Alligator mississippiensis: one gene and its partners. The protein of the gene in region 1 purifies or fractionates together with the protein of each later gene. This does not show direct contact. Links are inferred from orthologs where the notes say so. Each region holds a gene or a part of one and is shown on either strand. Other genes may lie near its edges.

What was found.
Region 2: the proteins of CBX1 (region 1) and PRR14 purify together in Homo sapiens (affinity purification with mass spectrometry; 3 studies listed by BioGRID and IntAct, counting the BioPlex papers as one, with this or other methods). This does not show direct contact. The link is inferred for Alligator mississippiensis from reciprocal best matches to the Homo sapiens genes CBX1 and PRR14.
Region 3: the proteins of CBX1 (region 1) and ADNP purify together in Homo sapiens (affinity purification with mass spectrometry; 6 studies listed by BioGRID and IntAct, with this or other methods). This does not show direct contact. The link is inferred for Alligator mississippiensis from reciprocal best matches to the Homo sapiens genes CBX1 and ADNP.
Region 4: the proteins of CBX1 (region 1) and EHMT1 purify together in Homo sapiens (affinity purification with mass spectrometry; 3 studies listed by BioGRID and IntAct, with this or other methods). This does not show direct contact. The link is inferred for Alligator mississippiensis from reciprocal best matches to the Homo sapiens genes CBX1 and EHMT1.

What each region holds. Positions count from the first base shown.
Region 1 is NC_081827.1:167,748,317-167,755,707, forward strand, and holds the start of CBX1 (chromobox protein homolog 1), read right to left. Parts: upstream 3,011-7,391; 5' UTR 2,813-3,010; intron 1-2,812. UniProt on the Homo sapiens protein: Component of heterochromatin. Recognizes and binds histone H3 tails methylated at 'Lys-9', leading to epigenetic repression. Interaction with lamin B receptor (LBR) can contribute to the association of the heterochromatin with the inner nuclear membrane.
Region 2 is NC_081830.1:1,289,284-1,296,478, forward strand, and holds the start of PRR14 (proline-rich protein 14), read right to left. Parts: upstream 3,006-7,195; 5' UTR 2,932-3,005; intron 2,701-2,931; exon of another isoform or gene 2,588-2,700; 5' UTR 2,482-2,587; coding exon 2,408-2,481; intron 1,334-2,407; coding exon 1,195-1,333; intron 778-1,194; coding exon 612-777; intron 1-611. Other genes in the region: ITGAL (integrin alpha-L), read left to right, coding at 4,041-4,092, 6,958-7,066. UniProt on the Homo sapiens protein: Functions in tethering peripheral heterochromatin to the nuclear lamina during interphase, possibly through the interaction with heterochromatin protein CBX5/HP1 alpha. Might play a role in reattaching heterochromatin to the nuclear lamina at mitotic exit.
Region 3 is NC_081832.1:12,681,925-12,688,841, reverse strand, and holds the start of ADNP (activity-dependent neuroprotector homeobox protein), read right to left. Parts: upstream 3,011-6,917; 5' UTR 2,697-3,010; intron 1,886-2,696; exon of another isoform or gene 1,703-1,885; intron 1,130-1,702; exon of another isoform or gene 929-1,129; intron 1-928.
Region 4 is NC_081835.1:51,863,410-51,871,228, reverse strand, and holds the start of EHMT1 (histone-lysine N-methyltransferase EHMT1), read right to left. Parts: upstream 3,005-7,819; 5' UTR 2,966-3,004; coding exon 2,903-2,965; intron 1-2,902. UniProt on the Homo sapiens protein: Histone methyltransferase that specifically mono- and dimethylates 'Lys-9' of histone H3 (H3K9me1 and H3K9me2, respectively) in euchromatin.

The DNA of each region.
Region 1 (7,391 bases):
TGCTTTGTGCCTGGAAAAGAGCTCAGTGCACTGAAAATAATTTTCTGACAAAGATCAAAATAGATTTCTACTGATATTTCCCACTCTCACCTGACATCACCTTAAGACCTTAAAGTTGGGGTGAGGTTGGAATTCTTTATAAAGGATAAATAAAACACTGGAGGGAGAAGGGCCTTCATGTCAGCAATTAAACCAAAAATACACATGCCTCAACTGCTTGAAAAGAATTTAAACCCCAATAAAAGGCCACAAAGAAAGAGGCCCAGCACAAAAACGTATACAAAACTTGCTTTCGTGGGACAAGAATAGCAGATGCAGGAGCAAAAGCCAGAATCAACGACACTGCAGAACATGCATTATTGCAGTAACTCAGAGACAAAGAATCTGGGTGTTGGGCAAGAGGCGAAAATTCTTGTGGATGGTATCTTTTTGTGGACCAACTGCATGGTTGGGAGAGGCAAGCTTATAGATATGATAGTATCCTTCTTCAGGACTGTGGGAACACAGCAAAGCTACATAGTAGATGGAAAAAAAGCTTGTGCAAAACACCTTATGTAAATAAAACCAGGGTATAAGAGAAACGATCAGGTAACCAACAGGCAAGAGAGATACAGTAAAAGCCTGGTAACAGAAGAACAAGGTTGTTCAGAAGGGTCATTATCATTTGTAATGTGCAGAGAATCGAGTACATCATAATGGACCATGAAATCACTGTCTGTCAAGTGCCTGGTACTTAGTGTCCAATTGACTCATACATTTTTGTTCCTTGCCTTTCAAAGGTGTTTAGTGTTGGGTGAGATGTTCTGAAGGCTGTGCCCAGGTACTGTGAGAGTTGTAAAGCAAACAAGACCATCAGCAACCATTTCAGATGGAAATGGCAGTGCTGTTAGCAAGAGGGATATGCTCCCAAGAATCCTTTTAGAAAGTGCAATAATAGAGGGGGAAGGCTTGTTTGTAGAAGCTTTCATAGTTTAAACTGGTTTAAATGTAAACAGTTTAAAGAGAGAAGATTAGGTCAGCATAAGCAGGAAATATATGATGACCCAAAAAGATTATCTGACCTATTTAATATGAATACATTCAGTCCAAGTGCAGTCACTACATTTTACAGGTTTGCGACTTAAGTGCTACTTTCATGCTTTTAACTTGAAATACTTCCTACCGCCCTTCCTAATGTTGGCTAAAGTCCTACTCCTCTTTCAGGACTTTAAAAACATGGCATATGTATGTACCACTTGCCAGGAAAAAGCAGCAGGCATGTTTCTTTTGAACTGGGAAGAAGTGTATTAACATTTCCAGGCTCCAAAACCTGAAAAACTGCAGAAAGGCTTTTACTCAAACTTTCCAGAATTGCTAGCCTTTGAGCTGAAACTGTAGAAAGAAAGACGACCTTGGCTTCAAAGGGAATTTGAGTATGCATCCCCTCATCATCTTCAACTGCACTCACAACTTGAGAGAGAAACAAATCTCTGAAGCTTGGGAAAGTGTGCATAAAAAGGTAGAAATACTGCTTCTTTGCAGAGAAAAGCAAGAAGGAATTCAAAGACAGGAGTTCTCTTTAAGTTACGCTTTCTAGGTTCTACATGAAAGAGCAGCAGGCACACACAGAGGTACTCCTATACTTCCAGCTAATCAGGGAAATGCTGGCAGAGCCCAAGCACAGACTTGTGTTTTACTTTTTTAAATTAAAATAAATTTGGATCTGGAGACGCTACAGGGGAAACAGCGATTAAAGTGGTATGTATTTCCCAAGTACCCAGCACCTCCATGAGTGGAAGACATCTCCGCACCCATAAATATTCTTATTCCCCCTGTTTTAATGGTACTTTCTTCATTCAACGCTGTCGTTTTTAGTATTCAGCGGGGCAGGTCTGAATAGCAGTTTATTTTTCAGCCCCCTCTCCTCCCCACTACACTCCAATGCTCTTTTCCCTGTATTACCAGCACATCCAAGCTGCCTTCACTTGCCATGCCTACATTTCACTTGAGTAGACAGCGAGATTAAACCAGCCTAGTTCCGTTTCTCATCAGTTTCACTACCTGCATCTCCAACACAAACAGGAGGCTGGATTTGGGTAGGAGACCTAGCAGCGGCTGTTCAACCCCATCAGAAACATGCTGCACAGAAAGGCAGCAACACAAACAGTCCCAGAGATGGTTCTACGGTGATGCTCAGGCTTAGAAGCACTCCCCACCCCTCCCCTTTTTTTTTTGTTTTGTTTTTCCTCCTCTTTTGGTCCAAAAAGAATAAGCCCTGCTTTTGTGGGGTTTTTTCCTCCTTGGGAGCTGGAAGAGCAGAACAGCCCCTCGACCTGAATCCTGACTCCCTGGATCCCACAGTGGTGGCTACACGCCGGCTTGGCACCTCCAGCACAGTTCTGCCACCTGCAAGACCCCCAGATAGCATCACCCCCTCAGGAGTAGCTCCCATCTCTGCCATCCCTTACCCTCTCCCCCCAGGTTGGTTTTGCTGCAGCACCAGCCTCCAGCCCCGCCCCCCCAAGCACCACCTCACCCAGGCGCGCAGCCCGCCCTGCCCTCAGGCAGCTGCCCCCTCCCCCCTATCCCGGCGCAGCTCCAGCCCGCCCCTCCCCCGGGAAAGCCCCAGCTCCCCAAGGGCGGGGGGGCTGCTCCCCACATGCCCCCATTGCACGCAGCCCCCCCACTGCAGCTCTACCCCCCCGGAGGCACCGCTTCGTACTTGCCCCCCCATCCTACAGCATCGCCAACGCCCCCGCGTGCAGCCCCGCCCCTTCCCCCGCGGGGGCCGCGCCCCGCCCCTCCGGTGCTCTCCCCCCCCCGCGGCGCTCACCTTTCACAGCCCCGCCAACAGCACCCGAGGGGAAACGGCTCAGCGCGCGGGCAGGGCGCGGCGGGGCGGGACAGGGTCGGACCGGGCTGGGCAGGGCGGGTAACGCTCCGGTGCGCGCGGCACCGCAGGCCCGGCCGCTAGCAATCCGCCTCCGCCAAACAAAAGAGCCCCGCCAGCCCGAGTGCCCGCCGAGCGCACCGCGCATGCGCGCCAACCCCCCTTCCCTCAATCTCCGCTCCTGGCTCACGCGGCATGCTGGGAGGCCGAGTCCCACCGCCTCCCGCGCGCTTTCTACCTAGCGGCCTGCTGGGAGTTGTAGGCAGGGGCGGGGCTGACATGCCTGCGCGCGCCGAAGTGGACGCGGGGTGGGGGGGAGTTGCTGAGCTTTGCGGTAGCGGTGCTCATGCGTGGCGGGCTCCGCGTTGCTGTTTGCGTCCCGCCTTTAGTGAAGTCAGGTTGAGGCGGGGTGGGGAGTTCTCAATGAGCCAGCGCGGAGTAGGAGGGCGTAGTTGTATCCTAGGGAGCTTTGGAAATGCAGAACAGCATCAATGAAAATAACGACAGTAAGAATAACAAAGCAATGATGATGCTTGTCACTATAATGTTAGAGCAAAGCGCGGGAACACAGCCCCACAGACTGGAGAAGAAGCCCCCAGCTCCGTGCAGCCCCATGTCCTGCCTCTGCCACTGTCCTCAAGAGTGGTTCTCAACCTTTTTTGTACCAGGACCCATTTGTAAACATCGATGGCCAGTCCTGACCCAGTGCCCCTCACCGCCGACTCTCTGCCCCCCACCCCCAGACCCTCAGTGTGTGGGGCAGGGGGGCATAAGCAGCCCCTTGCAGGCTGGACCTTTGCCAGCCTGCCAGGGATTCCCGTTTTTCACCTTTAAAGGAGAACCCATTTTTAAAGTTCATGCCTGACCCTTTCATGTATTCTTGCAACCCACTTTTGGGCTGCAACCCACGGGTTGAGAAACGCTGCTTCAGAAGGAGCTGTAGGCAGTAGGGCAAGAAGGCAGGGATGGCAGAAGAGAGGGGGTTTCACCCCACCCCATTGTCTCAAAGGTGCCTTGCTAGAGCTTAGAGACTGACACAAGCCCTCAAACATATGGTGTAATGCCCTCTTCTCATTTTCTCTGTTGCTATTTATGTCACAGGGCATATTTGTGACCCCAAGCCTTCTTGAGGTGACTTGTTCAGCCATCTAACACATAGCATGAAAAGCATTTCCTGGCCGCTTGCTTTGAATTTTCTACCTCGTCATTCAACGTGTTATGAGACAGGGGAACAGAAGTTGTTGGTCGGCCTTATGCTTGAGAACCCTATGAAAAAGGTCTGCAAAAAGACTGCTGTGGTTCTTATATTTTCTTGAAATCTTACACCTCCTAGGAGCCTAACTCAATTTTAAAATGGTTGGGGCTGATGAACCATGCAATGACACACAGGTGATGCTACATAGGATAACGTGCTCCTACTCCACCTTAAAGCTCCATACCTTTAGGTTGTATTGTTCCATGATACCATAGACATAGACCAACATGCTATAATCACAGGGGTGGGCAATTATTTCAGCTGGAAAGCATCTTAATGGGCAAGATGTAGCCCTGCCCCTTGACAGATGCCCCACCCCCTGATCGCCATCTTGGGACCAGAAGTCCCACCCCTAACCCCTGACCTTTGCCACCTGAAGTCCCTCCCATTGCCCCAGAAGTACTCCTTTTGGGAGGGAAGGGGAGTTGCTATTGTGAAACTGAGGGGAAAAAAAATCATATACTTAAAAAAAAACAACCCAAAACCCCCCCCCAAACATCTGTTATAACATTTTAATTTTCATTAAAAAATATTTTGTCCCGATTTGTGTGTTTGCATAGTGTATCTAGAGGTGTGCGCCCACCTGACTTCGTGGAGCCTCTCCGATGCGGCTCTGGAGCACGCACTAGGGGCCTGCCACGCAAACGGCTCCTGCTGTCATGACATGGGGTCATGTTCTTCTCAGGGGACACCCCAGTACTTTCCTGCCACATTTTGGGTGTTTTGTTCAGTAAGGCTGTGCGAAGCTTCAGTTGCTGATTCGATTTGGCGGAGATTCCATTCAGATTCGGCCACCAAATTGGGCTGAATCAGAAGACACTTTAATCTCTCTGAATCAAATTGGAACCCTCCAAATCGAATCAGAGAGATTTGGAAAGATTCAGCAATTTGGACGTACACAGCTTTAAATGTTTTTTCTACATACTTCAAGGTACCAGGTGGCTCATAAACGCTGAGAAGCTGGGGCGCATAGAGTATTCCAAAGGAGCACGGGGCACTCCCCAGCGCGCTTGGCAGCAGACCTGGAAGTGGACCAGAAGCACATCCAGTCCACTTCCAGGTCCACTGGGAAGCACACTGGGTGTCCGCCCCCGCCCCGCAGCTCGGCAACTAGTGCCTCCTGGTTCTGGGGGGGCATCCAGGGTCCACCTGCGGTTGATTGAATACAAGGGCCCCTCCATGCTCCTGTGGGATGCTCCATCCACCCCAGCATCACAGCATTCACAAGCTGTACCTGGTACCTCGAGGTATGTAGAAAAAACCTTTAAAGCTGTGTCTGTGGCCGAATCGCTGATTCTCCAAATCAGCATCAAATCTTCAGATTCGGATTCAGCCAAATCGAATCGGGGACAGTGATCTGAATCAACGAATCAAATCACGGTCCCCCATTTGGGATGAACCTGAATCTAGTAGGGCCTGCTTTGCACAACCCTAATGTTCAGTAGTAGGGTTCCCTTCTGTCATGGGGAACGCACTGGGCGTCATCACTAGCAGGCGTTCCTGGGGCTCCACCTCCCCTACACCCCAGCCATGCACCAGCTCATCAGAACTGCTGAATGATGGGCAATTTGGCTTCAAATTGATGTGGTATCCCACTCCCTCTCTGCCTCTCCAGTCCCCAGTGTTTGCAACAGTCTTTCTTCCCACCACACAGGTTTGCCTGGGGCAGTGTGATGGCCTCGATGATGGGTCTAGTCTATCCACGTTCAGATCTTCTAAATGGCCCTGGCCCGCTCAACCCTCAGTGTCTGCCCTTTGGCCTTGTCTCTGGCCCCAGGGCTTCAAGGTAACTGAAATGTAACTAAAGAACCACAATTCCAGGGAAGGGTCTCTGGCCACACCCCGCTCACGCGTCCTATGTTTGCCGGCATCGCCATTTCTCAGTGTCCTCCTCTGGGCCAACTCCCTCGCTGTCCAGGATGATGTGGCCCTTTAAATCAGGCCTTGGACCCTCTTGCTGGGTCCCTCTCTGGCCCCTCCTTGTGTGCATCCAGGACCTCCATTCCAGTGGCGGGGGGGCGGGGGCGGGGGCAGTCCCACAACTACCTCCCTCCTGCATCCCCACCGCCGACTTGTATCCCTGCCGGGCAGTGTTCCTGGATGACATCATTGGGCCGCACCGGCCTCAGCTGCAGAGAAAAGCACCCCTCTGTGGCTCATCCAGTACAGCTGTGCCTGAGGGAGGCAAGTTTGCCCTTTTCTCAGGCCTTTTTTTCCCATTGTTGCAGTGGGTTGTCTCCACCACGACCCACGCCTGGGGGTTCTTATTGTCCCCTTGGGTCAAGGTGATTCCATAATAGTTCAAAATACAGCCTTACTCTTGTATATTGGGTGTGGGAGGTGTAGATATAGTGGGTAGGTGTGGGTGCAGGGTATGTGGTGGCGGAGGGTGTGGGGGCATGTTGGGGGAAGGAGGTGTGGGGGAGCATCCTTGGAGTGTGAGAGTCCCTTAAGCTGCAGGTGGTGGCAAGCCACCTGCCTGGCCCCATAACACGCAACTCCCACCCAAGTCGCTGGCTGCACATGTCGGCAGTGTGCGGAGCCAGCCCCACCCAGCCCAATAATGCTCCTGTGCAAGTCCCTGGCCACACATGGTGGCAGCATGCAGGGCCAGCCTAGCCCCATAACGTACAGCTCCTGCGCTCCCACCACGGTCCCCAGCTGTACATGGTAGCAGCAAGTGGGCTCAGCCCCACCCATCCCCATATGTGCTGCTGCAACATGTAGGGCCAGCCCCATCTTGCCCCATAGCACATCGCTCCCCACATAGTTTCATAGTAGGTAGGGTCAGAAGGGACCTGAGCAGATCATAGAATCATAGAAGTAGGGTCAGAAGGGACCTTGTAGATCTTCAAGTCTGACCCCCTGCCTGGGCAGGAAGAAAAATGGGCTCAAATGACCAGCCAGGTAGACATCAAGTCTCTTCTTAAAGACCCCCAGGGTAGGAGCCAGCACCACTTCCCTTGGAAGTTGGTTCCAGATCCTAGCTGCCCTAACTGTGAAGTAGTTCTTATGGCTGTCTAATCTAAACCTACTGTCCAACAGCTTGTGGCTGTTATTCCTTGTTATCCCAGGGGGCGCTAGGGGAAACAAGGTCTCCCCCAAACCCTTCTGGTCCCCCCTAGTGAGTTTATAGATGGTCACAAGGTCCCCCCTCTGCCTTCTCTTGTGAAGGCTGAACAGGTTCAGGTCCCATAGCCTCTCATTGTAGGGTCTGCCCTGCTCTCCCCAGATCATGCGGATGGCCCTCCTCTGGACCCTCTCAAT
Region 2 (7,195 bases), on another chromosome or scaffold:
GCTGGGCAGACGGGGGGGCAGGTTAGTTCCGCCCCTGAGCCCACCCGCCACGCCCCCAGAGACCCATCCGTGGTGACTACTGCATGTTCATGAAGGGGGCGTGGTCAAAGGAAGTGGGGGGGCCCTATGCTTCCGTGCTGTCCCTTTAAATCCTATCGCCTCACCCTCAGCTAAGATGGCAGGCCTCAAATGAAGGTGCCTGCCCTTACTCAAGATGGCGCTGCACCCCTGCTGGTCCTGTCTCTGGATCCTCCCTGGTTGCCCTTCCCCTACATGGCATGCCTCCATGGGGTTCTCAGAGACTCCGCCCTCACCCCAGGCCCCGCCCCCTATCCTGATCTCTCTCTCTCTCTCTCTCCCCCCCTCCCACTGGGCCCCACCCCCTGGAGAGCCCTCCATTGGCCCTGCCCCCAAAGACCCCACCCACATCCCCCTAGATCCCTCCTCCCTACAGGCCCTGCCAATCAGAAATCCCTCCTTGCAAGCTTCACCCCCTGGTCCCTACAGGCTCCGCCCCCAGAGGCCCCACCTTTGGGCCACACCCGCTGAGACTCCACCCCATCCCTCAGACACCACTATCCCCTCCCACCATACACCCCCTCCCCGCCTACCTGGCTGCCGGCAGCACTCCCATTGGTCGGAGGAAGAGGAGGAGGAGGAGCTAGCCCCAGGGCTCCGCCCCCTCACAACTGGTAGGCTGGGCCCTGTCATCTCATCTGTCCCATCTCCTGTGGTGGGGGGCTCCTGGAGGGAGGGGGATGATGCCCCTTGGCACACCTGGGAGGGACAGAGACAAGTACAGAGTTAAAAGGCCGCCCCAGCTCTGGGAGACCCCCTTCCCTGGCCCCCACACCTGGGGACCCCCTGCAGCCCTGGGAGACAGCGCTCTCCACACCCAGGAGGCCCCCTCCAGCTCTGGAAGACCCCTGTCCAGCACCCCCCACACCCAGGGGACCCACTCCTCCAGCCCTGGAAGACTCCTCCCAGACCACCTGTCCCCCCCTTTCTGCCCCCCACCACATGCAGAAAACCCCCTATCCTGCCCCCCCAGCCCCAGGAGACCCCACTCCCAGCCCCCCAACTCGGGAAGACCAGGCCCCCCAGCTCTCAAAGTTCCCCCTCCCTGCCCCTCAACTCAGATAACCTCCCTCCTGCCTCCCCCCCAACCCCAGGGCACCCCCCAGCCCAGCTCACGGGGGCACGGGGGGCAGGACACTCCTCCAGGGTGACGGCCAGCACCCGGCGCCGGGACCGCTCCAGGGGGGAGGCCACCTGCCAAAGTGCGGCTCCTGCCTGGGCCCCTGGCCTCGCAGCCTGCTCCTCCGCGGGCCGCCTGCAGGGGGGTACAGGGGCTCAGGGCGGGGCGACACTGACCACCAATCCCCCCCCACCCCCTCCATCCCGGGCCCGAGCCCCAAAACAGCTGGGGCCAGGCACCCCCACAGAATCCCCCGGGCCCAAAGCACCCCCCAAGTCCAAGGTTAAATGAGGTGGGGGGGAGGAGAAGACGGGTTGCCTTCCCCTGTAGTCAGGGCGGGGGGGGGTACACTTCCTCTGCCAGGGGGCTCTCGGGGTCAATCTGACCCAAAGTAGCTTCAATTACTGTATGTCTTTGATCACAATGCACCCCTTCTCTCCAGAAATGCAGCCGCTGGGTATTCTTGAGGGTGCATTGTATGCGAGATGCATGGTTAGAGCAGCTTGTGCCCCCTTTGCCAGCCCCCTGCCCCAAAGCCAGTTGGAGGAGGGCCAGGGGCATCGGAGGGGGGGTCTTTGGGTCACGCCACAGGGCTGTTCACTTTGGACTAGGGGCGGCAAAGATGCATCTGGGGGGACGATCCTGCCTGGAGATGATCAGGAAGGGCTCGGGGCAGCCAGCTCTGGGGTGCAGCAGAAAAAACAGGGGCTGGCCACATATAACGCTGTCTAGAAGAAGCTCAGGTGCAGCCAGCTCTGGGGTGGAGCAGAAAAGAGAGGGATCAGCTACATAGATCGCGAAGGAGGAGAGATCAGATGTAGCCAACTGCGGGATGGAGCAGAAGCGGGGGAAGAAACAGCTGCATACAACACTGTCCAGAGACATCGAGAACGAAGCTAGGTCTGGGGTGCAGCAGAAAGGAGGAAAAGCGGCCGCAAATAACACTGTCTGGGGGAAAAAAAACTCAGATGCGACCAGTTCTGGGGTGGAGAAGAGCTAGGAAACGTAAGAGCCATCCATATCCAACGTGGTGTAGGGAGGGCTGCGAGGCATCGCGCTGCGGGGGGCAGCAGGAGAGGACAGCGGGCGCTGCGTGCAACAGAGCAGCCCCCACCACTCCGAATCACGCAGAACAAAGGGGTTTCTGGGGGGGAACGCCTAAAAAAGCCCCATTTCGAGGCCCCTGCTCTCACCCGCCCCCAGCCCCACCTGTAGACGAGTCTGCGGCGCCGGGCCAGGCGCTCGGAGGCGGAGATGATGTCGGGGTCCAGGGGGGGCTCCATGGCCGGGCCCGGGGTCAGCTGCCCCCCCCGGCCCCGGCTGGGGGTTTAGGGGTGCGCCAAGACCCCCGGGCACCTGCTCATCCTCCCGGGGGGGGGTGGTCCCTGCCTGGGGGAGAGCAGCCACACCTCGTTGCTCTCCACCCCAGGCCTGGCCGCATTGTGCAGCCCCGCGGCCGCCCGCCCCCATCGCGCCCCCCACCCTCGGGGTGCCCCCTGCCCCCCGCCTCCCCCACTGCCCCCCAGGGACCCCTCCCAAAGACCCCCCTGCTCCCAGAGCCCCCCCCCCTCTACCAGCCCTTCCTGCCTGCTCCCCCACTGCCCCCCAGGGACCCCTTCACTGGCCCCGTCCCACGGGGGTCCCCCACTGCCCCCCACCCACACCAAGCCCCCCCATCCCCTACTGCCCCCGCCCCTCCCTGCCTGCCTGCCTGCCTGGCCCCCCCCCCGCACCGCTGTGGTCCGCTCTGCGCCGCCCGGCGGCTCGAACTCTACTGCCCCCGCCTCCTTCCCTCCCTGTCCCTGCCCATGTTGTCCCCTCCCAGCCCCCCCTCCCCCACGCGGCGCCAGCCCGGGCAGCCAGTAGCCAGGCGTCTTGCTGCCGCCTCGACCAATCAGAGCGGGCCGTGCTCCAGGGTTCGGGTAGGGGCCGCCGCCATGTTGGCCAAGGGCACCGGCAGCGTGACGGAGGCCCCGCCTCCGAGGCGGCGCCGCCATCTCGGGAGTGGGCAGGGCGGCGCCATGTCGGGGAAGGGCAAGAAGGGACGAGTCAGATCGGCGCCATCTTGGGTAAGGGCAGGCGCCTTCATTTGCGGTTCGCCATCTTAGGTGAGGGCGAGGCGTTGGCTGGGCGGGGTTAGGGGAGGGCTGGGGCGGGGTGGGGGGGCCTGGACCCCAGACTCGTGGGCCCCTGGGGTTGCGGTTGGGGGTGGGAGCAGAGGGCCTGGGGGCCTTACCCCAGTGGTCCAGCAGAGAGCATAGCGCCAGGCCCTAGGAGGGACCGAGGACCAGGTGACCGTAGCGACCGGTCATCACGGAAATCCTGGACCGGCGCTGCTGGACAGACAGACGGATTGGCAGGACAGGGGGCTTTCCTCTCCGGGGGCCGATCCCATCCTGATCCATAGGCACCAGCCCCGGGGCGCTGTCCTCCTGCAGCGTTCAACTCGGCCGTTCCCCACCTGCTCCACCCCAGAGCTGGCCGCATCGCGGCCCTCCCAGCTGCCCCAGGGGCCTTTCCCCTCCCAGGGGACCCCAATCTGCGTCCCTCTGTATTGACCCCTGGGACTTGGTGCCTATAAAACCCACGTGACCCCATGGACCGCGTGCCATGCTGGGTACGTACAGCCCCGGACACATCCCTGCCTTTGCCCTTGCCCCTGCCCCCCCGCCACCTGAAGCGGGGGTGAGAGAACGGAAGGAAGCTGCCCTGCTCCCCCCCCCGGCTCCCACGCAGGAACGAGCAGCGTGCAAAACCCGCTCCACCACTTCCCCGTGTGGTTCCTGGTACCGGGGCGGCCGCCTCCTGCAGCGCTCCGGGCGGCTCGGAGCCCGAGCGCGCCATGGCCGTGCCGCTCGCCCTCTGCCTGCTCTTGCTGGGGGGGGCCCAGAGAGGTGGGTCGTGCTTTTGGGGTAGGGGGGCACAAGCCACTGCCGGGGGCACCGTGCGCATGGCTCCGAGGCTGCCAGCATGAAGAACCGGGGGGCTGGAGGGGGCGGTTGCGGTGTTTCGGGGGTGGGAGAGGGCATCCTGCCAGCTGCGGGGGGTGGTTTGGGGAGGGGAAAGGGTGTTGTGGGGGGTTAAGGGGGCAGTTGGGAGGTGAGAGCAGGGATGTCGGGGACGGGGGCAGCTAGGACAAGATACCAATCTGCTTATTGCCCCATGACTTGGGTGGGGTGCAGGAGCCCACCCACACCCAGACCTGCATGGCCCCAGCTGTGGGCAGCGGAGCCGCGCTCGGGGCTGCATGTCATCGTGGTCGCCGTCAGGCGTGAGAGCACACCTGCCTGCGGTTTGGCCTGGCCCCTCGCAGGCAGGTTGGGGGCCCTCGGTTGCTAGGGCGCCTGAAGCCGGGGGTCCTCAGTCGGCAGGGACAGGCACATCCGTTGCTAGGGGCATCCCGTGCCGGGTGTCCCATGCCTGGGCCCTTAGTGGCAGTCGCTAAGGTGATGCTAAGGCAGGGGTGGGCAAAATGCAGCCTGCAGGCCAGATGCGGCCCGCCAGGCCATTCTGTCCAGCCCCTAAAACGTGTAGAAAATGAATATTTATCTGCCCCTAGCTGTGTCCTGCGGCCCTCGATGGCTTGCCGAAACTCAGAAAGCGGCCCCCCTGGCCCAAAATAATTGCCCGCCCCCATGCTAAGGCCAGGGTGGTCCATCCCAGTCATCCGGGGGGAGACAACCGGTGGCCCTCGGTGACAGCTGTGCCCGGCCTCTCGGCCCTTAGCAACCGCCTGGGCCTGTGTTCTTAGCGCTGGTGGGCCAGCACCCTCGGCCCTTAGCAACACCTGGGCCCGTGCCCTCAGCCCTTAGCAACTGTCTGGTCCTGGACGCTTAGTGATAGGCCCAACCGGTGCCACCAGCCCTTAGCAACGGTTGGGCCAATACCCTCGGCCTTTAGCGACAGCCATGCCTGGCCCCTTGGCCCTCGCCCGGGTTCCCTCGGTGTCATGCTGCTGCCTCTTGCCCCGTCGGGCCTTAGGCTTCGAGCCGGGACAGACAAACCCCCTCGTTTTATCCTTTTTCACCCAAAAGGAGCCCACAGTCGGGAGAGCAGAAGCCAGGAGTCCCCCCAAATGTTCATAGATTCATAGATTCATAGATGTTGGGGTCGGAAGGGACCCCAATAGACCATCAAGTCCGACCCCCTGCATAAGCAGGAAAGAGTGCTGGGTCTAGATGACCCCAGCTAGATGGTTATCTAACCTCCTCTTGAAGACCCCCAGGGTAGGGGAGAGCACCACCTCCCTTGGGAGCCCATTCCAGACCCTGGCCACTCGAACTGGGAAGAAGTTCTTCCTAATGTCCAATCTAAATCTGCTCTCTGCTAGCTTGTGGCCATTATTTCTTGTAACCCCCTCGGTAAACCAAACCTCACCAGTTCCCATTCGGAAACCAGGAGGCAAAGCAGCAAGCTAAAAACGTGCAGCTCCAGGCACGCGGGGTCCACATTTTTAGGTCAGGGTTTTAGGTGGGGGCGGGTTGACGTTTAGCAGCAGGGCAGGTGGCAGGCGGTTATGGTAGATGTCTGCAGGACCCAGGCGCCCGGGGGCACACGTGTATGCACACAAGCGTGCACATATGCAATCACCTTAATCTTGCAAACGTGTGGGCCAGAACAGTGACTTCCTGTGCAGTTGTGGTTTACACATGTAAGATGCAGCGGAAAAATAAGTGTCTCTCGTTTGCTTTATGGAGGTTGAGGGGGGTGGGGAGGGTGCTGGGAGCCCGGACGCCTGCGTTCACTGGGGGGGGCTGGACCCCTGGGTTCTCCGAGCGAAGCGGGTAGTCGGGTCCCTCCGCTGTAACCCACCGGACTGCGCTCTTGGGTGTGGGCCGCCCTATCTCGGGGCGGGGATGGGGCAGAGGAGACACCCGGATGCCTGGGTTCCTTCCCCAGCTCCGCCTGAGATTGCAGTGATTGCCCCCCCCGCACCGAAAACCAAATGTGGATCTGAGACCGGTTTAAAGGGATCAACCACAGCCCAGGTCTTCCAGCAAGGCGGAGGCAGGGTCTGGAGGACATCTCCAGGCCACTGGGCTTGACCTCAGGCTTTCGACACTGCCACCGGTTCCTGTTTTGCTCGTTATTGGGGGTTGGTTAGAACAGCTGGGGGAGGGAAGGGGGGGGCACAGGATGAGGATAACACCCCATCCCTAGCTCAGTAACAATCGCAGTGGTTGTGCCAGTAGCTAGGTATACAGAGCATCGTGCCTGGGGCTGAGATGCAGCCAGCTCTGGGGTGGGGAGCGGCAGTGGCTGAGTGTAACGGAGCTGTGGCCAGCTCTGGGGTGGGGAGTGGCAGTGGCTGAGTGTAACAGCTGTGGCCAGCTCTGGGGTGGGGAGTGGCAGTGGCTGAGTATAACAGAGCTGCGTCCGACTCTGAGTTGGGGAGTGTCAGGGGCTGAGTATAACGGAGCTGTGGCTGGCTCTGGGGTAGGTGCTGGAGGCTGGGTGTAGCAGAGCTGCAGCTGGCTCTGGGGTGGGTGTCATGGGCCGGGTAAAATGAAGCTGCAGCTGGCTGTGGGGTAGGCAGCAGGGGCCAGGTGTCAGAGAGCTGTGGTTGGCTCTTTGATGGGTGCTGGGTGTTGTGGAGCTGTGGCTTTGGGGTGGGCACCGGGCTCCAAGTGCAATGGAGCTGCAGCCAGCTCTGGGGTGGGCATCGTGGGTTGGGTATAATGTAGCTGCAGCTGGCTCTGGGGTGGGCACTGTGCCTTGGGTATAACAAGGATCTCTGCCTCTGCTCTGTATCCCCCTAGGTCCGGCCCCCACCCTTGGGTACAACCTCGACACGGCCCACCCAGTTGTCCTGGCTCCTGATGTCGGCCCCAGCTTTGGGCACCAGGTCCTGCACTTTGGGAATGACAGGTAGGGGCAGCCCCGAGGTGGGTCAGAGGAGGGCTGAAAGCCTGGATGCCTGGGTTCTCTGGGAGGGGAGGGGAGGGGAGTGGGGCTGGGGGGTGAGAGCCCGGACACCTGGGATCTCTAGGGAGGCAG
Region 3 (6,917 bases), on another chromosome or scaffold:
ATGGTTACGCATTTCAGAAACACTGCTTTATAGACCTTTTAATAGTCAGTTTCAATATTTTCAATTACTATGGAAAGCTAAAACTGGAGGGAACAACTATCCATTATCCAGGCTAGCATGATGGGAAGCACAACTTACCTTATCAAGTAGGCTTATACCAGCACTTATTTAGAAGGGTTAAAGCTGACTGAATTTCTAATTTAAGAGCCAATTCATAACCCAGAGAGTCCACTTCAGAAAGTACATAGTTAACAAATTGTTTAGCTGAAGTTCCTTCAATTATTTGTTTGCTTAAAGTGTTTTAAGGCATCCTTGGAAATAGTTAATACCAAATTCAGAAATGCCAAGGGACATCTTCTGATAAATGGTACTGTGTATTACACATACTGAGAAGCTTCTTAGTCTCTCACTGAAGATTACAGAATCTTCCTAGCAATTTTAGTTCTGAACTCATGACCTGCTATATTTTACCTCTGTACTGCACGCACTTTCCAAAGTAAATCTGAAGTAGCAAAACTCTCACCAAAAAACCCACCAAAACACCGAGTACTATATTATATTCATAACCTGTATGTCTAATAAAAGCCAACTGTCAGTTTTCTTTGCACATTTTAACATTCTACTTAATATTCAAGTATAGATATATGTTAACTGTGCATCAAAAATAACACCTTTTCTGTTCTGATTGAGGTTTATCTTAGTGTGCACTAAAAGCATCTTCAACAAAGATTTAACAACCATGTTACAATGAATCAGCCTCAAGTGGCAATTTTTAGTAGCAACAGAGTATATTTCTCATCTGTCATTTCTTTTAATACTCTGAGACTTCACTACACTGATGTTAATACCAAATCACTGTCTAACATCTGTAAATATATATCGAGAATAGTGCAGATCATTAATTGATCTTTTTGTTTTGCATTAAAAGTGATAACCAATTTTGAGGAGATGGCCCATTTTCCTCATCTGGAAGGAAGGTAACTGCCAGTGAATCCTCTTGGCTGTTACTATTACAATCCTCCTGGAGTGAAAGTTGAGTTTTTCCAGATGGTTCAGCTGAGACCCAGGAACAGGAAACTGAATGCAAGCTGCCTGCACGTAATACAGGTTACTGCTACCAAGCAGCCAGGTAAATTTATTCTTACTGAATAACATAGGTCATGCTCTGTTGCACATGTGGCGACAACGTCTCATCCTTTTTCCTCAAGTGCATATTTTCCTCTACAAAAAACAAAATACTCAATATTCAGTTGAAAGTGAGAGGCTGGCAGAAGCATCATGTGTCATAGTTTCCCTTAAAATATTCAAAACCTCTTTCTTATGCCTTTGTCAAAAAGTTTAAATTACCAAGTTGGGGGGGGGGGGGGGGGAATCAAAACTTTAGTGAATTCCAAGAGTCCAACCAGCATGTTGCCTAGTCGGTCTACAGATAAAGCATTCAGCGCTCGAGTAACACACCATATTGTTAAAGTTTCTACATCGCTACTGCCATGCATTCAGAATGTGTGAAAAAGCCATGCAAAGTTTATAAAGCAGATGGCACCACAAGCCACGATCAAGTTTTTATACAATTACTACATTCTCGATGGAGTTCAGTACGCAAGCCTGGTAAAGAGGCAGAAATCCTGCACATGCTCTTGTTCTCTCAAATTCCCCATTTCATCTGTACAAGTTCTGAATACAAGTATTTTGTCAACTTCAGGAGTGCTAACAGTTGAGTCAAGTGGGCAGAGTCAACGCACCCCTACGAACTGAATGAAAGTATTAAGTAGGAAGCAGTACCAAGGATGGCAAGGGAAACTCAGGTGTGATGCCAAGAACACGCTTTGGCAGCTGCAATTTCAAAAAAAGAAAACAAATAAATGAAGTGATCAGATTTTTTAAATCACTGCTCCACTTGCTAAACCCTGCGCCAGGCTGTTGTCAGCTCATAAGAGCAACTGAGCGTTCAGGGCCAGGCCCGTTTTCCCAGGTCTGTAGAAGGCGCTGTGTGGCAGCTCCTCTCTGTGCATCTGGGGCCCTTCCCCCTCTCTGCAGCAGCCTTACCCGGTGTAGAGAACGCGCCCCCTACTGACTCCAACCCTCATCTCTCCTCGCCACCGACTTGGCTGCGGTGCATTTTGGGTGGGGGCTGGTATTTTTCTTCCATGGCCAGATACCAGAAGCAACAATACAGATTGAATGCAAAGAAACAGGGGGGGGGGGAGAAAAGAGAGAAAAAAGAAAAAAAGGGACCACACACTTAGGTGCATTTATTCTTGCAAAGCCACGGCGCCTGCAAGCATCACCTGAGGCAATCTGAAGGGGGGCATGGGGGAGACCCTGCAGTGGCAGAGACAGAAAGCAGCATCGCGGGGCTTTATTTCCCCTGCCTTTGTCTGAGCAATGGGCTGCAGGAGGTGCAGCCCGGGATGGAGGGGGTGGCTGGCTGAACGTTACTCCATCTCCAGGCACCGGCCATGAATCGCGCCTTTTCCAGCAGGCAGCCCCGGCTCCATTCATTGCAGCGCTGTCCGGCCTCCCTCCCTCCCTCCCGCGCCCGGCCCGGCCGCCGAGCCCACCCCGCCGCCGCCGCCGCCGCAGCCCCGGCCATTCACGCCGCACTCGGGGCACCTCCACGCGGGCCCGGGCAGGGAAGTCTTTGCAACATGTGTGCGGAGGGGGGGGGGGGTGGGCTCGGACCCGCGCGCACCTACCTGGCTGGGGCGCTCCTCGGCGGCGCGGGGCGGGCGCGGCAGCAGCACCGCGGCGGGGGGCGGGGGTGCGCGGCGCTGCCTCCCTGGCGCCGCCCGGGTCCCTGGGCGGGCGGAGCGGAGCGGAGCGGAGAGGAGCCGGCGGCGCGGGGGAGACAAAGGGGGCGGCGGGCGGGCGGGAGGCGCGTGTCTGGGGGGGCGGCGGGCGGGCGGGCAGCGGGCGGCGGCCCCGGGCGGGGGTGTCGGGCGGGGGCGGGGGTCCCGGGCGCCCTGCAGACAATACAGCCGGGTCCCTCCTGCCCAGAACCTGCCCTGGCCAAGATGGCGGCCGAGAAAGAGCGGAAGTGACGCGAGACTCTCATTAGCATACGGGACTCATTGTCCGGCGGGAGGGGAGGGGGCCGCGCCCCGGGGGGGAGGGGGCCCGAGCCCCGATGGAGCGCGGCCCGCGCGGGCCCCATCCCCTCCCCGCGGCGCGGGCCCTTTAAGGCCGGGGTGGGGTGGGGGAGCGGGTTACATAACCCCGCCGGAGGTAGTGAGGGGGAAGGCAGGGGGATTCTCGCGAGAGAGGGGCGGCGGGATCTGCCCCGGCTCCGCTAGGAGGCGCCGCGCCCTGCGGCTTGGGCCGGAGAGGGAGTTGGCGCCTCGCGCTTATCCCTCCGCCGCGGCCGGGACTACATCCTGCCCAGAGGGGCCCCTCGCTCCGGGGCGGGAGCACGAGTCCGGCGCACACGGGCCACGTGACGCCCCACGTGACCCCGGCGGAGCGCGCACTCTCGTGCCGGGGCGCTGGTGTGCGGAGGAGGGGGGGGGCGCTGGTGTGCGCGCGCAGGCGGGGGGTGGGGCCGCCCTCACACCCGCTCCCCGCTCGAGGGCCCGGGCTGGGGGCCCAGCGCGCAGCACGTGGGGAGCCCGGCTGTGCCTCGTCCCTCACGAGGCGTGAGGGAGGAGGGACAGTCAAGAGTCCTTGTAGGGCCACAAGGATAGGGTGTTATTTCAGAGCTGTAGCGCCTGGCCGGCCGGCCGGCCCGCCCTCCCTCAGCACTGGGGCCCAAAGCTACAGGCCAGGTCACAAGGGACGAAAGGCCTCCATTCGTTTCAAAGTGCTGGCACGCTTTCACAAGGCAGAACAGCTTGGTCTGTCCCGCGCACCACGTGGCGGGGGATGTCAGTTTCCTGAAGCCCTCGGACCCCAAGGGAGCGACCCGACAAGTTCTTCGAATCGTCGTTGAAAACGTAGAAACGCTTGCCGGAAGTTACTTGTGCTTCACGAGTGTTAGGTCCCGTATTTTTTTTAAATGCCTCCAATTTTGCAAATGCTGACGTGGGGCGAGGTGGTTCCTGACTCGTTCAAGGAGGCGCGAGCTTTCGTAGGACGCAGCCGACTTTGTCAGATGCTATGGACGGACTTTTAAAAGACGTGGGGTACTAAATGAAAAGGAATAAAGCCATTTCAATATAAAGGACAGGGAAGGAGAGGAAGAGAGGAAGCTTTGCACAAAGAGTTATGTTCATGTTGAGATAGGTAGTAAATACTACAAACTTTACCTTGGTTAAGACTTTTTTTTTTAATTTAGATATTAGCAGTTACTCTGTCAATGACTGCAAATCATTCCAGAATTTAAACATGCATTTTCGCAGTAAATTCACTTTAGTGAACATAAGAAATAGTAAGTCATTAAAAGTATTTCCTTTATAACTGAACGAAAACACACAGGACTTATTTGTACCAACAAATTTGTTCATGCTGTTTACTGCTGTTGGGCTTCTAGAAAGGTGAGGTTGAGTTGGTCTCAATCGTGCAACCTGGCGATGCTTTTGCAACTTTTAAACAAAGTAAAATAGTGTTTTGACTTTTACATAACTTTAGTTTGCTTTGCAAGAGTACGTGTTTATAAAAACCCCTTATAGTGCACTATAAGGAAATACGATGAACAGTATTTATGATAAATGTAGATCAGTCAAGATCAGTTAGATGCAAACAGCTAACGGGCCGGGGCTGGACTCGATCTTCCAAGGTCCTTTCCAGCCATAATGTCTATGAAATCTATGAAACTTCACGTCCACTTAAGTGTATGTAAGAAGAAAAACAGATCTACAGAAGCTTTATGACATTTACGTTTTCCCTCTTTTTTTTTTTTTTTCTCTTACTCTTATACTCGATCCCATTTTGGCTATTACTTGCTGATATTGCAATACAACAGATGCTATTATTTTCCTAACTTGGCTCTAGCTGGTTAAAATTTTGGTTTTCCTTTTACAGCCAATTACAATCTTAGTAGTGGTTTGCTGTCTGCAACACATTTAATACAGTATTACTATTCACACAGTCTTTCCCCTCACCCCTAAAAGAAAAAAACAACAACTTTACATTAGATTGGCTATCAGAGAGGATTGTGGTAGAAGAATAACCTCTATGGCAGCTACCTGTTCTGAGCAGATGCTCCTAAGTAATGGTGATGATTTACATTGAACAGAAAAATACCTAACTGAAGAAAATGAATAGTAGTTACAGATAAATGCAATTGAAGTCGCCAAGCATTAATTTAGATTTGAGACAATCCTCGGGGTATTTGGGTGCATTTAGAAACTGGAGGGCTGAGAGGGATGTATCAGTAAACTAATTATGTTATGTGCCATTATGCTTAGGAACTGTAGGGAGATTATTACATGTAACATATAAATGGCTATTCTTTTATTTGTCAGTTGAAGTCATTCCTTAAAGTATAATAGTAACACTTCTCTTTCCAGGAATTTTGAATGGTATTCCTACCACATGGAAAAAAAATGAAGAAAAAAATCTGTGAGAGTATCAAAGAAAGTATGAGAGCACCAAAAGAGGAAAGCTTTGTAAATTCTGATATTCAGAAACTTTCTTAGAATCTGCATTAGTAATTATTTATGTAGCACTGCCAATGGATACAGCTTTTATAGCAAGTAAAATCCATAATAAAAACATGAAAAAAACGGAAAGTTCCTGGACCACAGAGCTTGCAGTCTGAAGGCACGTTTGTTTCAGAAAAGCATACAGGGAGAGCTGCGTGAACTGAAGAGGAGCAAGATTCATGAAACAAAGGAGGAAGCAATGGAAAGCAGAGGTAAGATTTTACAAATGCTTTAAAGGAAGCTGTTCCTCATGTTAATGGTAATATGAAAATGCAAGTGTGTATGAAGGAAAGAGTGTCTAGAGAAGCACAGCTCAGAACCGCAGAGTTGTGACCCAGGAGACATGAGCTTTCGAGGCTTGAAGTCATATTTGCATCACTTCTATTTTTGGGTATGGCTACCAGCCCTGAGCCTTCTCTAACTACTGTTGAGTTTCCCCCAGTCACCTGCAGGCCACTCTGGCAGCTCAGAACATCTGGAGGGCAAACATTCAGTTCTCTTTTCCCTGTCCTCCATATGCACCTATACTATGGACATTCCAGCTGTCATTCCAGTCCCCTGACTGCACTGGGGTTGTGTGGCTGAGCTCCTGGGCCAAGGCAGCAGGGTGCAGAGCCCCAGCCCGTCTCTGCCCTGTGGGGGACACATGCCCCCGTGCATTCCCCAGGGATGTGCATTGCTGCTGTGAACTGTGCCTCTTCCCCGCACCTCTGGACAGCCCACCCCTGCCCGGGGTCCCAGTCACCCCTACCCCTGCTTCTGCCCCACTCCCTCCCTCACCGTGGGGGCCTCGATCTCCTCCCAGTCCCTTCCCTCTCCCCCACCCCTTTCCCTACACTTAAATGTCTGGATTTTCCCAGCTGGTGAGGGCTGGATCAGGAGATCGCAAGTCGGAATTATTTTGACTTTGATATTCCAAGTCTCAGAATGGTTTTGCGACAGTTGGCATTACTGTCAATGGAAGAGATTGCTAGGTCTTGAGCTTAAGCTTTGATAGTTGCAGCAAAGAGCAAAGGCTGAATTTTTGTAATATTGTATAAGAAATAACACATGAGAGAGCTGGTCTTGCTTCCATTGAATTCAGTTGGAGTTTTCCTCCTAACTTCAGTGATAGAAACAGTGGGTCAAATGCTTAGCAAGGTGGAACAGAAGGAAGGAGGAGTCAAGGTTGACACTAAGGTTGCAACATGATTGGGAACATGAGTAATGGTGTTTAAGATGACCTGCAAAGATGGGAGAAGGAGAAGTAGAAAGGCCATCTCCCCATTTTTGACACTTTGTAAGGCAAAACAGCAAAGTTGACAAACATTTTTCCTCTGCTTGCTTTTTACATGAAGA
Region 4 (7,819 bases), on another chromosome or scaffold:
CAAGTTCAAATAAAAAGCATGGAGGGGAGGAGGAGGTGGGGGGGAGCTGAATTCATACCAGAATGACGGAAACAGGACATAAAGGGAAGATCACGTTACAGCTTCCAGGTTCTTCTCTATTAAGGGAAGTTGATTTCAAAACCCTAAAAACTTTCAGTAATAAAAAAAAAAGCTCTGAAAAAGGTAGCAAGGGTGACATGTGAGATTTGTCTCTAAATTGCTGATGGTAGATTGCACAGGAAGAACACAAGCTTCAAGCCTACTGCAGCAGTTAGCATATGATTTTCAGTACTTCAAGTATTTAGCCCTTAAGTGAAAGGCAAGGTTATTCTGTCATTCCAGTTTGACAGAAGTCTCCAAATTGATTGTCTGACCCTTCCAAGTATCAGGAGCAGAAACAGGAGGAAAGAAATGTATAGGGAGGGGGGGTGCGGAAAGCAGGAACAATAAAAAAAAAAAAGGTACCATCTGCCTCCTACCCCACAAACCTGCTGGTCATGAGGGCAGAGGGTCTCTAAATGTCCTTATTCGTCTGAATGAAAAATTTCCCTTCCATTGTACAAAAAGAATGTGATCCTTTGTCATTAGGAGATGGTACCACACAAGAAAGGTCACACTGGCATTGGGATTCTTGCAGCATACCAGTGTTACTAGGTAGGTTTCAAATCCTGGGAGAAGAGGAAATAAATGAGCACTGCAATACAACCAGCCCGAATGCTCGTGTTCCATATGATATCCAGACGCAGAACCAGCCTGATCCTGCAAGATGAGGACTGCCCTTGGCTCAATGAAGAGTTAAGGGCACTGACCACCCTCGGGTGACAATGTCAGCAGACAAGTCTTGATTATGGAGGGCATGATTCTGAAAGATGCTGAGCATTCAACTGAAGATAAAGGCAACAAGAGCTGCAGGTACTGAGCACCTCTGCAAATCAGTTGCCTGAATGCCCTAAAAAAATTTTTAAAAAATAAATAAATTCAGCTGAATCCTCCAGCACATCCCGAATTCCACATCTAACCAAACAGCATTACATTTTTGTGCGTTTTCCACAGAACAGTACAGAAATGCAAACAGATCAGACTAGAAAAATTCGACCTACCCATTGGTTTGGGGACAATCAAAAAAATATTGAGAGTAATTTACCCCTCTTCCCCAGTCCTCCTAGTATAACGGTGACAGGGACAGTCAAATAGATTGCATCTGGGCTAGTAAATTTCCATGTCTTTTGAAGGGCTACTGTAGGCCATATGCATTATGACTACACAAAAGAAGCATAATGGTTAGTTTCAAATAACAGGGACAAATGAAGACCTGAACACACAAGGTTATGGCTATTAACCCCTATGCTGCTGAAGACAGACCCAGAATTTTAAAGCTATATATAAAGATGGACGGTAGCATCTTTTGAAGGCATTTACCAGGGGTCAGTCTGTATGCCTGGACTGCTCAAAATGCTTAGGAATAGTCTATCGTGCTGATAGCGCTACAGTCATGATATCATACGGACACATGTCTGCCCCAGTGGTAATCTCTGTTGCCTCAGCATCTTTATTACAAGCCCATTTGCAACTCAAACCTCAAGGTTTCTGGAAAGGAACTTACAGCTTAAGATTTCAGACAAGGAATTTGCTTTTTCTCAATAGTTTTTAAAAGAAACCCTGTTTGTTTCTTCACCGTCATTTTTGATATACATGCTTTCAACCTGCACTCGCAAGACAACATTCATGATAGCATTTGCAGTCCAGCAGGCAGACATTTTTCTCATCGTTCCCCTTACTTTCTGATGGCATTTTTGCTTCTTCCCCGTAGATAAAAAATTAATATCTATTAAAGTAACAGTAAAAGCTTTCTCTAAAACCAACAACTGTGAGACTCCAGCCTAAATTTTTCAGGCCAGCAGGGGGTGGTAGCATCACCCACAGTTCTGGCAGCTCTGCAATAATCAAGGGACAACAGTGAAGGTCAAGACTGAAGTACACACCCTAGCTCAGAAGGTCTTTATTTCTGTCGATCACAGACAGGACCAGGAGGCTGTTAACATAGAATGTAAACAGGAAAGCAACATGGCAGAGTGAGATGTGACAGTTTTAAGCAACATTTTAAATAGCCTGCCAGCAGGCAGCTTTTGCCATGAAATAAAAGAAAATCCCAATGGTTCACTCAGTCCCTCGTCTGGATGACAGGCTAATGAAGAAAGGATTCTCCTCTCCGAATAAATGGCTACCTTTGCCCTCCTGCCATCCCAAAAACTGAACTGTAGGCTTGCTTGGCATCAGCCAAGGCTGTCAAACTGTTTCTAGCAAGCAGGTGAAATGCTTCTGCAGGCCCTCTCTTGTCTTTGAAAGCTTGGTCTTCCCAGAGTTTAAAGACCCCCCCTTCTCCAATATGAAATGGAAAAGAGGGGCAGGGGGAGCCCTAGGTAGAACCAAACACTTGAAAGAGACTCCATGCTAAACAGGAACACCCCTCCAAACAAAAAGACAAGGTAGACACTCACTGGATTTGTAGAATCGGAGTGCCAGCTTCCTTAGACAGACACATATCATTTAAGACTCAGAACTGTGTACAAGTTTACTGAACAAAACAGTCATCACAGCAGCCAGAAAGTCTGCAAAGCATGCGCCTGCCCTGGCCACTCTCTAAATCTCCTCCTTTGAAAGAAAGCCCACACCCCATCCTGCACGCTGCTGTCTCACTAGGCAATACACACATTTCTGCTGTGCTGTTCTTTCTTGCATAGGACAACAAAATAAATACAAAATCCAGCCATGATTATCTTAACTGTCTTCCTCCTCTCAAAGGTTTCTCCTTTTCTACCTGACAATAGTCTGTCTGCGGACACAACCTGAGGGAATCTGCTATTTATGACATATGGAGCATGGACACTACAAGTTACTGTACCTGCAGACATCTGTTGTCTTCTTTTGATGAAGACTCAAAGAGTTGCATATTCCAGATCCTCATGAACAGTGATTCAGTTTCTGCTCATGTGATAAAAGCTCCCTCTACAGAGTGAGCATGCCCAGTGGAGACCATTTCACTGTTCACTCCAAGCTGCAGCCATTTCACAGAGAACCTGCAGACTTAAGGGCTTCCATTGGAGCAACTGTTATCTAAGGCATCAGAGGGATACAGCGTCTGTCCTGGTACAATACACAGTTAATAAAGATAATCTGTCAACATTCTGACACAATGCCAAGCCTAAGACTGATCATAGCCTGAAAACCCCCCTTAAAAACCATGCAACAATGTGTTCTGTTACAGTGGCCTTCAAGAGTAGCCCTTCCTTGCCTATGAAAAAGAGATGCTGCCTATTAGCATTTACATTTGAGGGCGCATGTGCTAATTATATTCTGCTTAATAAAACTGTGCGCCTTTTGAATGCTGGGATAAATGCACGTGGGTCAATCAGCAAATGTACAGTGTCCAACTGAAAGTGAATTTGAGATTTGATCCGCTGAGTTGAAGGGCCGTCAATTTTTCACTTCAGAGATTTATAATACAATGTGAGCTTACGTTACCAACCTTAAAAACGTATCAGAAACATAATCATCAAAAAGAAAAAAAAGCGAATGAACTGATAGAAGTACTGCACCTAATACTTTCCTGAGCTGAGCCTATGTCGAACCATAAGATACAACTGGCCCAGCTAGCAGGATAAAAGAAGAAATTTTAGCTTCAAAATCACAAGTAGTTTGTCTCTGTTCCGTTTCACAATTAAGCACAAAGTCTTGGCAACCCTCATATCTGCTATAGCTCCCAGTAAAACTGCCTGAGCAACTCGCAGGAACATCTGTAAGCAGAGATCAGCTGGACTGGATTCAAATGCAAAAAGTGACATATTTATCACAATGCCAACGTACGTGGGTTTCTTTATGTTTAATATTTTCTGGAGCACCTCCCACAAGAAAGGGGGAAGGGAGGATGGAAGAGAAGAGAGAAAGAAGGGAAATTCTTAAATGGAGTCAAGTACCTCCTGCTTGTTCTTCAACATGGAAAAATGCAATTCTCCCACAAAGCAGGACTGAGGAAGAAGTTTCCCTTTAAGGCTCAACATTAAAATAGCCACTAGTTCAACATATTGCATCACAATGAACTGAGATGAAGAGGGAAAGCCTGGCCTGCACAAAGGGAGAAAACACATGAAAATTCACAGTGAGAAGCTGAAAAGCCCAATTTTACATCTTTTAGACAATGCACGAGAATCAAGTACACTAAATTCTAGTTTTCACAGTGAAGCGAATCCTACAAGATTGCCCTTCTTCCCTTTATTTAGCAATGCAAGAGACTGTCATGATCTTCTATTATCACACACTGGAAACAAGCAATATCAATTTTCTCCACCCCATGCATTTACTTCACCATCTTGCACATAGACATTTGCAAAGTGGTAATGGTTAAAACAGCAACAGCAATCTTCCATAGCACTGCATCTACTAAAATGATGCTCTTTTCCTCTCTCCAAGCACTTCAGACACGTTTCACTACCAAATGGTTAAAGCATGCCAGGCAAAATTGAGAGGATAAAATTGATCAAGGAAACTTAAGGTGACAGAAGGAAGTGAGGATATCACCTTTACTCCTGGGTTGTTTTTCTAAAATAGCTTTAAGTTACAAGGCATATCAATGGGATTTTTTTTCTGGCCTTTATTTCAATCACTGGAAATGTAACGGTAACCTCTTTAATATAAAAAAGGAAAAACGCAAAAGACAACCACCCAAAAAACAACAAAACCTGACAAGACAGACAAAGGTATATTATCCACTGCAACAAAAGGAATACTGTAGTTCTAACCAAAGACAGCCCTAAAATAGGTCTGTCTACTGTTATCCCTCTTTGCAGCATGAATTTATAAACCTAACATCAAAAAATATGGAAGGGGATACAACGAATTTCATAACAACTGCAAACGCAAAAGAGGTAATATAGTCAAAACATTTTTAGAGCTAAAATTTCTCTCAAACCATGTTACAGTATTCATTCTTTCAGTAGGCTCACAAAGACAGCACTTCTTACTGCAGCTCAACGCTAGAAATGTTTTCACTGCTAAAGTTAAAAATACATGGAAAACAGAAGTTAATGCAGATGCCAATTTGTTTTTCAAGTCTCCCCTCCATTTTGAAAGCATCTTTTCCCAAGCCTTACAGACGGACACATTTTCAAACAGCATATTGGGGACACTTCAACAATTCACTGAAAACTCAAGCAAAACAATCAATTAGCATCTTACCAGGCACATTTCACAGTGTCACAGTGACACTGTACAAAAGGACCAACATGATTTGTGCATTAGTTATTGAGGTTATGGTCAAGTTCTTTACATTTATGAAGTCCAAAGAGAAAAAATGAGCTCCTAAGCAGCCCTTAAAATCTCACACATCATTAGCTGCACCACACTGCCATTCAAAGGCCAGTCTCCTAAAGCGACACTGGTATGTGCATCATGTCTGCTTCAGGAGCAAAAAAATAAAAAAAATAAATCTCTTCTTTTGGAACTAAAACCGTTTCATGGAAAGCTGCAAATCGCATGGAGATAATCAGTTACGATACCTAGGAGTGAAGTTGAACAACAAACTTGTTCGCAGCTCTTGAGTTTAACTGTGTCGTGACAGACCCAAATGCTGTCATGTTACTGTTTAATGCCCAGGACGAAGCTGTAGTCGTGTTTTAAGGTGCTTACTGTTTGATGGAAGCTACAGTGCTTCTTGCTCTGTTTCCTACTTGGTCCACATGAACAACAGTCCTGCTTTGGCCACATGACCTAGCTCCCTCTACAGGTCCGTGTGCCACAGTAAGCATGCTCAGAGAGGAGACCATTTCCTTTCAGCCGTCTTAGTGTTGTGGAAACTGCAGCCATTTCATGGAAGTCAGGGAGAGCACAGATACAACCTCTTTTTAAACAGATCCTGCAAGACATTAAAAGGAGCCATCTTTTGTACCCCACACGCAAATATCCCCACAGACACACATGTGCACGCACGCACAGGCACGGATGGAAAGAGAAAACTGACATTCCAGGGAAGAAGATGGTTACACAAGTTAACTATTCGGTGACTTCAGAAAAGTAGAATCACGTTGCATTGATCTCTCCTCCCCACCTTTGCCAGGAAAGGCTGTCATGAAGATGACCGAGGTGGACTTCCTAAGGATTTGTTGCTAGTGGAATGAACCAGCACATAAACAACACCAAAAACCCAGCCATTTGTATTCAATTAAGATTTGTTTCCTTTCCCCCTTCTCTCAAATTAACCCAAGCAAGGTCATCATCAAACTGTATCTTGTGTGGGTTGCCTTGCTAGGGACACTGTATCACTTTGCTTTTTAAAAATGTGTTCTGCCCAGGACCTTAAAACTAGCAGATATTTTTAAACTCGTGGCTCTCTGGCCTGTTCTGAGATTCGAGGCTTGAATATCCTTTTAGGATCTCACATTTTAAAGAGAGAAAAAGACAGCAGAACGACAACCTTTGTTCAACAAAGCACACATGGTTCCTAAGGGCTTTTGCTTAATTACACCATTACATGTGTCATTTTCACAGCTTCTTTTAAAGAAGAAATAAAAGTGGGAGGGAAGGGAAAATGTTTCTACTGTCAGAAGATGACCAATATTTGGTCCAGCAAAATACAGGAGTTTTTTTGATTTTGCCTTGCCTCCCTTGCTGTTTTCATACCCTACCCAGCACCGAAGCTGCTTTTTCTCTTTTCGGCTATCTTAAAAACATAGTGAACAGGAGAGTTTAAGGGGTAGAGAAACCGTCTATAAAAATAAATTAGGATTCCAAAAGGAGCTTTCATATTTTTCCCCTGTTGTTAAAAATTACTCATCAGCTTCACAACAAGTTATTAAAATGCCTCCTTCCTCCCTCAATGAATCTTTAGGGGGGTACGTTCCTGCGAGGTGCTGAATCCCCCTCAATTCCCAATGCTGGAGACACCAAATGCCCATTGAACACCTTGCAGGGCGAGAAGCCCCAGTCTGAAATGTACTGAGCAGGCTCCTGGACTCATGTTCTACCTCACAATCTGAAACCTGGGTCTGTTCAAAGATTTTAAGCCAAAACTACAACAAAGTTAAATGCTGTTTTTAAGCCAGTCTGAAGGGCAAAAATGCCAAGGGACTCTGCACAGAGGATGTTACACAAACCTACACAGTGGCAACAGGTAGTGAGATACAAGCTTTTCAGGAAATGGTCCTGTGTTTTAATCAAGTGTTCATTGCATTGATACAGTAACCCAGAACTAACTGGTTAACTTTCTAATAGGCTGACAGGTTTGTAACTTAGAAGGTATTGTATCCCTCACAGTGCAAATGTACCAAATCCATCAGCTTTAACACATAGTAAACTTAGCAGTCAGCATTTCCATTTTGAAACCTCTTCCCTTCTTCATTCAACTACTGCACGTAAGAGCTCCTACTGTACAAATAAAGTTTTGCCCGAGAAGGGTGCTGAATGTATCAAGCATATTCCATCTTCAAGAACAGAGATCAAGCTTATTACTTTAATGACAGCAACAGTTTGTTTTGTTGGTGTTGCTACTGTTTTTATACACCTGGAAAAAGACAGATGGGGTAGGAATCAGAGACATTTCAGTAGATGCGCAGTGCAAAGCCATACTGCTCATGATCATAGTCTTCTGCCAGGAAAGCAGGCAGTAAAAATGGCTGCTTACATTCAATCTCACTTCTGCTGCAACACTCCATCGAAACGCTGGAGATCATTTTACAGACGACGCTGCTGGTAAAGTTCATGGTCTTTCCCTTTCCTGGCCTCCCACCCAATTTTGTAATACTATGGACAGACATCCATATGAAAATAG